Linked DNA regions of Macaca fascicularis. The protein of the gene in region 2 interacts with the protein of the main gene of each other region in a pairwise test. Links are inferred from orthologs where the notes say so. Each region holds a gene or a part of one and is shown on either strand. Other genes may lie near its edges.

Evidence for each region.
Region 1: the proteins of CTNNA3 (region 2) and JUP interact in binary tests that used the Homo sapiens proteins (3 or more experiments, as listed by UniProt). The link is inferred for Macaca fascicularis from reciprocal best matches to the Homo sapiens genes CTNNA3 and JUP.
Region 3: the proteins of CTNNA3 (region 2) and PKP3 interact in a two-hybrid assay, tested with the Homo sapiens proteins (2 studies listed by IntAct). The link is inferred for Macaca fascicularis from reciprocal best matches to the Homo sapiens genes CTNNA3 and PKP3.

What each region holds. Positions count from the first base shown.
Region 1 is NC_088390.1:62,792,293-62,795,941, forward strand, and holds part of JUP (junction plakoglobin), read right to left. Parts: intron 3,095-3,649; coding exon 2,939-3,094; intron 2,772-2,938; coding exon 2,652-2,771; intron 2,048-2,651; coding exon 1,897-2,047; intron 1,804-1,896; coding exon 1,682-1,803; intron 162-1,681; coding exon 122-161; intron 1-121. UniProt on the Homo sapiens protein: Common junctional plaque protein. The membrane-associated plaques are architectural elements in an important strategic position to influence the arrangement and function of both the cytoskeleton and the cells within the tissue.
Region 2 is NC_088383.1:80,657,394-80,660,116, reverse strand, and holds the end of CTNNA3 (catenin alpha-3), read right to left. Parts: intron 1,216-2,723; coding exon 928-1,215; 3' UTR 617-927; downstream 1-616. UniProt on the Homo sapiens protein: May be involved in formation of stretch-resistant cell-cell adhesion complexes.
Region 3 is NC_088388.1:296,807-301,123, forward strand, and holds the start of PKP3 (plakophilin-3), read left to right. Parts: upstream 1-1,493; 5' UTR 1,494-1,577; coding exon 1,578-1,809; intron 1,810-3,906; coding exon 3,907-3,986; intron 3,987-4,112; coding exon 4,113-4,317. UniProt on the Homo sapiens protein: A component of desmosome cell-cell junctions which are required for positive regulation of cellular adhesion. Required for the localization of DSG2, DSP and PKP2 to mature desmosome junctions.

The DNA.
Region 1 (3,649 bases), on a different chromosome or scaffold from region 2:
GGATGCCACAGAGCAGTTGCCACTGGTCCTCTGGCCCCAGAGACATAATATTGCCCCCTCACACACACCCACACAGCCACCCAGGATCTCCAGGGTCCTGAAGAGCCTGGCACACACTTACCATCTCCATAGGGCTCATTGATGGGAATCATGCTCTGGGCCTGAAAAAGGAGAGAGAAACATGGAGGAGAGGTTTGAAAATGCAGGCTCCGGCCGGGCGCGGTGGCTCAAGCCTGTAATCCCATCACTTTGGGAGGCCGAGGCGGGCGGATCACGAGGTCAGGAGATCGAGACCATCCTGGCTAACACGGTGAAACCCCGTCTCTACTAAAAAAAATACAAAAAACTAGCCGGGCGAGGTGGCGGGCGCCTGTAGTCCCAGCTACTCGGGAGGCTGAGGCAGGAGAATGGCGTGAACTCGGGAGGCGGAGCTTGCAGTGAGCTGAGATCCGGCCACTGCACTCCAGCCTGGGCGGCAGAGCAAGACTCCGTCTCAAAAAAAAAAAAAGAAAATGCAGGCTCCAAGCTGGATATCAGCTGGGGGGCAGGGAGAGATGCTTCTAAAAGAAGGGACTGGGCCGGATGTGGTGGCTCACGCCTGTAATCCCAGCAATCTGGGAGGTGGAGGCAGGCGGATCACTTGAGGTCAGGAGTTTTGGACCAGCCTGGCCAACGTGGTGAAACCCCGTCTCTACTAAAAATACAAAAAAATAGCTGTGCGTGGTGGTGCACACCTGTAATCCCAGCTACTTGGGAGGCTGAGGCAGGAGAATTGCTTGAATGGGGAGACAGAGGATGCAGTGAGCCGAGACTGCGCCACTGCACTCCAGCCTGGGCCACAGAGAGAGACTCCGTCTCGAAAAAAATAAAAAATAGCCCGGGTACAGTGGCTCACACCTGTAATCCCAGCACTTTGGGAGGCCAAGGTGGGCAGATTACAAGGTCAGGAGATTGAGATCATCCTAGCCAACATGGGGAAACCCCATCTCTACTAAAAATACAAAAATTAGCTGGGTGTGGTAGCATGTGCCTGTAGTTCCAGTTACTCAGGAGGCTAAGGCAGGAGAATTGCTTGAAACCAGGAGGCAGAGGTTGCAGTGAGCCAAGATCACGCCACTGCACTCCAGCCTGGCGACAGACCAAGACTCTGTCTCAAAAAAAAATAAAAACAAATAAATAAATAAAAGAGGGGGCCAGAGAAAAGCAAAGAGGCCTTGGAGGAATACAGGATGATGAAATGGGGTCACCCAGTGCCCTGATGTACTCGTGTCCTCAGTACTCCCCAGGGAGGAGGGTTCCCCATTCATGGAGCAGGAACTCCTGCTGGATTAGAGCAGCTCATGGGAGGAGGGTAGGAGGCAGAGGACTCACGAATGGGTGCAGGGCACTGCTCCACCCTGGAAAAGACCACCTGTAGCCTATCCAGCACCTCCATGCAAATTAGGAAAAGCACCCCCTCCTCAAACACCGTATACTCATTTGGGCAAAATAAAAATTGGCATTGTGTGGACATATGGTTCAACCTACTACTTCCATCTGCTAGGAATTGTTATAAATGATCCAATTACAAAATAAAAATCTATAAAGTTGACAGTAGTAGGAGACCCCCAAAAGTCAAGTTGCCCTTGGGCAGTGCACAAGTTGTGCAACCAACTACTGCGGTCCAGCCTAGGATACTCACAGCCTCCCAGGCAGCCGGGTCATGCTTAAAGAGGGAGTTGGTGAGCTCCACGGACACACGCTTCCGGTAGTCTGGGTTCTTGTCCTCAGAGATGCGGAACAGGACAGCAGCAGCGTAGGTGGCTGAGCAGAGAGGAGAGGAAAAGCTAGGTTAAACGTCTGCCAGCCTCCATCATGCCTGGGGGAGTGGGACCCAGCTGCCCTCTTCCAGCTCACCAGTGCCCTCGTTGCGGGAGTGCAGCAACTCCATGAGTGGGGCCGAGGCCCCCTCTGCATCAATGGCGTCAGCCGCCTCCTTGTCCTGGGCCAGCTCACACAGCACCCCGGCGGCCACACGCTGGATGTTCTCCACCGATGAGTACAGGAGCTGGGGAGAGGGGACATGGGAAGCAGGGGAGAGGTGGGAAGGGGTGAGGCAGGCCGGACAACACACCCCACAGCCCTGCCCACCTCCACCCTGTAGCAATTCCATAGTGGAAAACGGGCCATCACTGGGGAGTAAGTGTTACTGTTTTAAACTGGGCTGAGTGTTGTTCATGAACTACCTTGAAATTACCTGTTACTCTGCTTCATCTAACCATTGGAATCTAGTGTTAAAGAAGTCACTGACATGAAAGATGTTAAACTCTTGTCTGTTATGGTACTTGCACATATTCTCCCAGTTTGCTGATTTTTTTAATGCTTTTTAAAGGTTCTTTCTGAAATAGATGGTTTTCATGTTTATGTGGTTGAATCTCAAGTTTTTTTTGTTTTTGTTTTTTCCATTTGTGATCTCTTTCCTTGCTTTGAAGCTTAGAAAGCCATGCCTGTGCAGGGGGTTGCTAAGTAGTCAATCTGGTGTGGCCACTTTCCTCCAAACTCCTCCAAAGACCTCTTGATGCCTGGTCCAGGCCCTCAAAATCTGGGACTCCTAACCTTGCCCTCTAAGCAGTGGTGGGGGCAGCTCTCCTGCATACCTGCCCCAGACTCACCTGCACAAACAGAGGGATGGTGTTGAGCCGGAAGATCTCCATGCGGTTCATGGGGTCCCGGGCGAGGATGTGCAGGGCTCCGGTGCAGCCCTCCACAATCTCCTCCATCCTCACACCATCCTGCAAGAGAGGAGGCAGGGGGCATGGGACAGGTGCTGTCAGCCGAATGAACTTCACAGGCTCTTGGAACTGGCATCAGTTGCAACTGACCTCTGCATTCACACACACACCCACAGAGGACACCTGCCCCCCAGGAAGGTTGTCACAGGCACCACCAGCTCACATACCGTGTAGGGCTGCTGTGTGCCTGCAGCTACGTGGCGCTGGGCATCCTGGTGGGCCTTGACCAGCAGTTGGACGAGGCGGGGGATGACCGCTGCCTCCTGCAGTGGGGCATGGTTGGCTGGGCACAGGGCCAGATTCCTGATCAAGCCAATGGTTGCCTGGCAAAAAAAAAAAGGGGCAGCAATCAGGGGCACTTCTTGGACATCTGAAGGATCCCAGCTTCCCAGCTTCAGGTATCCCCTCTCTCCTTCACCTCTTCTGTCCCCGAGGCCAGACACAGGCACACTAGAAGATATCCAGAGAAGGAGACCATCCCAGCCATGTCACTTAATCCACAGGATCTGGGGGTGCTCATGGCTAATCCTTTTCTTTTTTTTTTTTTTTTTTTGAGATAGAGTTTCACTCTTGTTACCCAGGCTGGAGTGCAGTGATGCAATCTCACCTCATTGCAACCTCCACCTCCTGGGTTCAAGTGATTCTCCCGCCTCAGCCTCCTGAGTAGCTGCGATTACAGGAGCCCACCACCACGCCCAGCTAATTTTTTATATATTTTGTTTGTTTGTTTGTTTGTTTTTTTGAGACGGAGTCTCGCTCTGTCGCCCAGGCTGGAGTGCAGTGGCGTGATCTCGGCTCACTGCAAGCTCCGCCTCCTGGGTTTACGCCATTCTCCTGCCTCAGCCTCCTGAGTAGCTGGGACTACAGGCGCCCGCCAC
Region 2 (2,723 bases):
TTTTCAAACTGGCATTTTCCTTTTAATTACCATTGCAAGCTGATAAAAATGTATTTTTATGTTTGTAAGAATAGGGTCATACAGAACTTACACTTCTGTTGTTATTAATATAACTCACTTTGGGATATAGTTTGTGTCTCATTTCCCCAGTGGGTGGTAACTCTTCTTTCACATATGTATTCAGATAGGCCTAACACGCAAAAGTACAGAATTTTCTAACACATTGGAAACCCAAAAGGTGCATATGTGGCATCAGAACTCATTGTAACCTTTATAATGTTAAGAAAACATTTCATTAATAACCAAGGTTGACCTTCAAAATTCAGCAAGTAGCCTGACTATTCAAATTTGATTAGTTTATAATGGATGTTAGCCTAATAAGTTGACAATGAGTACAGCTATCTAGAGATTACAAGGTTGTTTTTTAGCTATGGCAGGAATCATACATTTCTGCCAGGTTAGATCAGGTAAAGAAAGCATGGAGATTAAATGGGAAAATATTTTATAAAAGTCTTTTGTTTCTATTAAAAAACCAAGTCAGGAGCTCATGTTAGTGTTTTACTTAAAGATAAGGATGATAAGTGCACTTGAAGTATTATGGATAAACAGGACTCTCTTGCATCTCCTGTGTTTATTTGTTAACAAATAGTAGATAATCTCTATGATGGGAAAGACTGAATGACACGTGATAATTCCATTCATTGAACAAGCAAATACTCATTAACTATTAGGTGCTGACCATATAGAAATGACAATGACATGATCCCAAATATATATTGCTTATGTTGATTTGGCACCCAATATTTTATGTTATTTGTGAGTTAAACACCAAAACTTAGTGAAATTACAGAACTTCTTAAGTGTAAAATAAAGCAGTGTGGTTAGCCAGGATTTTGTCATATAGGCACTATAGGTAGAATAGTGGTTTCAGTAGATTTGTCTTCCTCTAAATTCACTCATGACTTGAACTGGATGGATTTTTTTCTTTGCTGAGCCTCGTCTGACAGCTGCACACGTTTCCTCTGGCTTCTCTCTTTTAATTAAGGGTTTTTTTGCAGGAGCCTTCATTCTCCACATCACAACTGGGTGCCGGGGCCCAGCAGGACTCTGGATTCGGATGATCTTGGTTGAGGCAATGTAAGACATTTTCACTGTTTGCACTACAGCATTCATTAAATTTTTGGCTGCTTGGATCAGGGAGGTGACACTGTCCAACTGTAGGGAAAAAAAAGAAAAGAAAAGAAAAAAGAGCTATTATTCCAGAATGCAATTAAGAATTTAAGAGATTTAATGTTATTGAAGCCAAAGAACACCACTTTGCTTTTACCTCAGAAATGAATGAGTTAATCATTTTATACAACTATGTATAGTTATCTACCTCAATCAGTACATCCATTTTTGATCAGTTATCTATTTATCTGATACATCAATTGATTCACAGTCTATCTTCTAAGATGATATCATAGAGAGATTAATTTCTTTCTCTTGGCTTTCAGTGACATCATGTAAATTCTGCAGGGCCCCAATCCACATAATATCGCAAGGCCAGATGGTCACTCTTTTCTTTGTAATGTATCTTTCTATTTCCAGGAGATAATCCTGAGCTCTTTCTGTAAGACAGGATTATCTGCAATAAAACCTATAAATAATTTTATATGAAAACAATTGAAAATTCTCCTCAGGGAATAGTTTAAGATAAATATCATACATACATGTAGGTAAAGACATGCATATATACTAGTCTCTTTCTTGACTATTTCCCAAATAATTGCACCTAAAAGGGTCTCTTTTTTTAACACAGAACTCTTATTTTATCCTATAGTATTTTAAAATAAAATTGGAGCTCTATAATCAAATGAAGTTGAGTTTAAATTTCAGGTCTGTCATTTGGCAAGTAGGAAAAATCATTTAACCACTTTTGCCCTAGTTCTTTCACTATTAAAAAGAAAAAAAAAAAGCAAGCATGTCTATTAAAGGAAAAGTAATACGTGTAAATAAACTAGTACAGTTGATTTTTATTAAATATTATTTTCTTTTTTTGCTATGAAGACTGACAAAATTGCTTAATGGTAAAGATGCATTAATGAGATTAAAAAAACATTTTTCCACATGATTCTGTTTTTGTTATATTTTCTGGTTTGGGTACACAAGCAATCTCAAGGAAAAATGAAATGGTATTCCCAGAATCTTACAAAATACCTTATAACTAAGCTAAGCTGAATTTTTTTTTTTTTTTTTTTGAGACAGAGTCTCCCTGTTGTCACCCCGGTTGGAGTGCAATGGCGTGATCTTGGCTCACTGTAACCTCTGCCTTCCAGGCTCCAGCAATTCTCCTGCCTCAGCCTCCTGAGTAGCTGGGATTGCAGGCGCCCACCACCATGCCTGGCTAATTTTTGTATTTTTAGTAGAGATGGGGTTTCATCATGTTAGCCAGGCAGATCTCGAACTCCTGACCTCAGGTGATCCACCCGCCTCAGCCTCCCAAAGAGCTGAGATAACAGACATGAACCACCGCACCCAGCCAGCTGATTCCTTTTTATACAACCAATGTCTCTTCCATTATTTTAGTTTGGCAGATTGTCATCCACCGCCAACTCATACAGGAAGATGTGCCTCCACTCTCATCCCTCTGTAATGCGTGCTGTCAGGATTGAGACTCACACACTCACTCTGTAGTTACTAAAATCCATCAGCAGCTGCCTAGCCTGAGTTGTCTGCCTTTG
Region 3 (4,317 bases), on a different chromosome or scaffold from region 2:
CACTGACCTCACCCTTAATGCTGCCTCCTAACCCTGGATCCACCCTCACTGAGGGGAAGGGTATGCCCGAGAGGAGAGCCCAGAGCCCGGGTCCAGGGTCCAGAGAGAGGCAGAGGCTGTCAGATGAGCTCGTAAGAGAAGCCCAGGGGTTGTCAAGATGTTCAGCTCCCACCCCCAGCCCTCCTAGGCTTATCCCCACCCCCCCCCCCCCATCTACCAGGGGCCTGTCCCGGAGGCCAGAGGGCCTCAGAACCTGCCTGCTGGCTCCACTGGCTGTGGTGCTCGAAGGAGACCTTCTGGGCACAAGCCCTGCTTGGTCTGGGCCTCCCCCGCCACCCCACCCCCACCCTCACTCCCTCTCCATCCCGGCCACTGCTCTCCCAGACCCCCTGGTTCTTCCCCGCACACCCCCACCCTCACTCCCTCTCCATCCCGGCCACTGCTCTCCCAGACCCCTGGTTCTTCCCCGCACACCCCACCCTCACTCCCTCTCCATCCCCGCCTCTGCTCTCCCAGACCCCCTGGTTCTTCCCCGCACACCCCCACCCTCACTCCCTCTCCATCCCGGCCACTGCTCTCCCAGACCCCCTGGTTCTTCAGCGCACACCGCTCCTGCCCCAACCTGGCATGCGCTGACAGGAGTGCAGGCCCCTCTGAGTCAACCCCCTGGGGCAGCCCCGCCCCCTGCACCCTGACTCATGTGCTGGGAACGGCCTCCCACCCGAGGGCCTGGGGGGCAGGCGCAGTGGTGCCAGGGTCCCAGAAGCCAGAGAGGGTCAAGTCAGCCCTTTGGAGGCCTCTGTGGGGGGTGAGGGGGTCCTGAGGGTGAGTTCCAGGGTCGGCAGGCCTCAGGGGAGGGCCGGTCCATCCACATGCTTCCTGTGGGGAGGGGGCTCTCTGGGTTCCAAGCACCAGGGCCTCCATGGAGTCCGGTTGGACCCTAAAGCTCCGTCCCTCCATCCTGTGTCCTGACCCCGGCACTGACCCCTGGCCCCCCACAGTGTCTCCTGCCAACCCCTTCCTAGGCCTCATCCCCGCCTCACCAGCAAGGCTGGGCTACCGTGGAGGCTGTCTGGTCCTTGGAGCTACCTAGGGCCCTAGACCCCCCAGGGGGTGGGACACCCTCCCCTTCATGCTGGGGGTGGCAGGACATAGGCCCCCTCAGGACCTCTGCCCTTCCCTGACACTCAGGACACAGAGGGCCCCTCTGTCCCAGCCCCACAACAGAGGGCTCGGTCCGGCCTTTACAGGCTGAGAACAAGAAGGACCCAGGGCCCCCGTGGCCCTGTCGTGGGATGGGAGAAAAGGAGGCAGGAGGCCAGGCTGGGACCTGGGGCCATGCAGGGCCTGTTCTTCCGCCCAAATTCCACCTTAAGCAGGCGGTGGCCCCTCCCTCCCACCTGGCCAGGTGTCCCCGCCCCCAGCTGCGCTCAGGGCTGGGCAGGCGTCTGTCTCCAGGCGGCCCTGGGTGAGGCTGGCGGGGCGGGGACTTCAGGGAGAGGGCCTGGAGGGACAGGACGTGAAGATAGTTGAGTTTGGAGGCGGCCGCCAGGCCTAGGCCCGGTGGACCTGCCGCCATGCAGGATGGTAACTTCCTGCTGTCGGCCCTGCAGCCCGAGGCCGGTGTGTGCTCCCTGGCGCTGCCCTCTGACCTGCAGCTGGACCGCCGGGGCGCCGAGGGGCCGGAGGCCGAGCGGCTGCGGGCGGCCCGCGTCCAGGAGCAGGTCCGCGCCCGCCTCTTGCAGCTGGGACAGCAGCCGCGGCACAACGGGGCCGCTGAGCCCAAGCCTGAGGCGGAGACTGCCAGAGGTAGGCCAAGGCACAAGGCAGGTGCCGGGCAGAGGGGACCGCGGCGGGGACGATGGTGGCGGAGAGAGGTGTCTGCGGGCGGAGGTGGTAGGGCGAGGGCAGAGGCCGCAGTGAGGCTGGCTCCTGACTCACCAGGCCTCACACTGAGTCACGCACCCCGCCCCAACGGGCGTGGGGAGAAGCCATGGGTGGGGCTCCCCATCCAAGCAAGGACCCCCGGGTCCTCCAGGGACAGAGCCTGGCCAGGCCCCACCTGTGTCCTCAGCCTAGAGCCTCCCCCGTGGGGGATGACAGGGAAGGCTGGCACACGGCAGGCGGGCCAGGCCCCTCAATCGGCAAACCCGGAGCACGCACGCGACTGCCCCAGAAGCACAGGCTCACGCACGGTCTCAGGGACACCCAGACACCCACGCTTCTCCCACACCTCATGGGAATGAGCAGAACAGGAAAGCGGGGAGAGGTGTGGGGGGGCTGGGAAGTCCTGGAGGAAAGCCAGGCCTGTCTGGACCAGGGGCTCCCTGAGGAATTAGAGGGGAGGGCCCCACTGGAGTGACCCAGATTTCTCTGTGGGAACAGCAGGTGGAGGAGCACCCCTCAGTGCCAGCCAGACCCACCTGTGGCGGAATCCTGGCCCCACTCACGCGAGTGCGTGTGCATGCGTGTGAGTGTGAGTGACAGGAGCACGCAGATGCTGTGGTTGAGGGCAGTGGTTCTAGAACGTCATTTCCTCCTTCGCCAGCTACAGCAACAGGGATTAAGGTCAGGCAGTAAGAGGAACCTCCCAGAATGCCAGGGACCCAGATGCCAGTTCATCGTGGTGCTTAGAGGGGACCCCCAGGACTGGTCTCCAGCTACTGGCCGGGGGGAAGTGAAGGTCACCCAGCGGAAGGGCCGGCCTGGCGGCCTGGACTGTGGGGTCCTCCCTCCAGGGGCCTCAGCCTTGCTGGTGACCAAGTTGGGTGCCCAGGGGTCATGGGGTGGAGGACGGTGAGGGAAGGGTTAATTACCACCCTGGCTACCCTGCCAATTAGAGGGGGGTGGATTATAATTGGGGGGTGGGGGTGAGGTCCCCAGGCTGGGGCGTGCCCCTACTCCGGGCTGGGCCTCACCAGCGTCAGAGAGTTAATAGCCCCGGCCCAGAAGCCCCATTAACCAGGGTGAGTCTGGGGCCCCTGCTGTGGGGGTGTACCCAACAGAGCATCCAGCTCTGGGCAGAGTTGTGGGAGGGCCATGGCCCCCTTCCCTGTACCCCACACTGAGCCCCTCAGCCAGTGGTCGCTCTGCTGGGCCTTCTCATGCCCCCGCCATCAGCCCGTCCTCTCTGCACCCACCCACGAGTCCATCCCTCTCCCCACTCACCATCCACCTGCGGGACCCACCATTGTCGCCGGCTCTCCCACCCCTCCGTCCACCACTCTGTCCATCCTTACAACAGTCACAGCAGCCCTCCCATCCTCCTCCTGCCTGTCTCTCCATCCACCCTCCGCCCTCCGCCCTCTGTCCACCCGCCTGTCTGTCCACTCACCGTGGAGTCGGGCTGACGCAGCTGCCCTTGGCGTGTGTGTGGCTGGACGGGGTGGGTGTGGCCCCTGCCTCGGGCTCTGCCGGGTGGGAGAGAGCACTGCAACAGGGCATACTGGTCCAGGGAGACAGTGTCACTCTCCTGTGACTGGGCACAGATGAGATTTGGGCACAGGAGGGGCTCAAAAGGAGTCAGTGTGAGTTGGGGCAGGCCAGGTTGGCTTCCTGGAGGAGGAGGCTGGGCGCTGTACCATGGCAGGGATTGGAGAACTGATGTCAGAGTCCCTGGCACATTCCTCCAGGCGACCAGGAGGTCAGTGGGTGAGCACATCTGCCTTCTTGGGCAGAGGAGGCACAGCTGGGGGGTGGGCTGTGGAAGGTGGACCACCAGGGCTGACATGTGAGGAGACCAGGCCATGGCAGGAATGGGGAGGCCCTGGCCCCGAAGCCCCTGGCCTCCCTGCCCTGGATTGGAGGCTGCTCCTGGGGTTGCGAATAGCGATGGAGTCGGGAGGAGGCAGGAGGCCGGGGCTTTGCCGTGTGGCAGAGCTGGGCTACCACTGTCCCTCTCCACAGGCACATCCCGGGGGCAGTACCACACCCTGCAGTCTGGCTTCAGCTCTCGCTCTCAGGGCCTGAGTGGGGACAAGACCTCGGTAAGCAACGGGCCCAGCCCGAGGGGGACAATCTGAGCTCTGCAGCTCGGAGAGGGGGAGGCCCTGCGGCAGGGCTGGACGCAGGTGAGCCCAGGCACGTCCTCACTGCCCCCTCTCGACCCACAGGGCTTCCGGCCCGTCGCCAAGCCAGCCTGCAGCCCAGCCTCCTGGTCCTCCCGCTCCGCCGTAGACCTGAGCTGCAGTCGGAGGCTGAGTTCTGCCCACAACGGGGGCAGCGCCTTTGGGGCCGCTGGGTACGGGGGTGCTCAGCCCACCCCTCCCATGCCCGCCAGGCCTGTGTCCTTCCACGAGCGCAGTGGGGTTGGCAGCC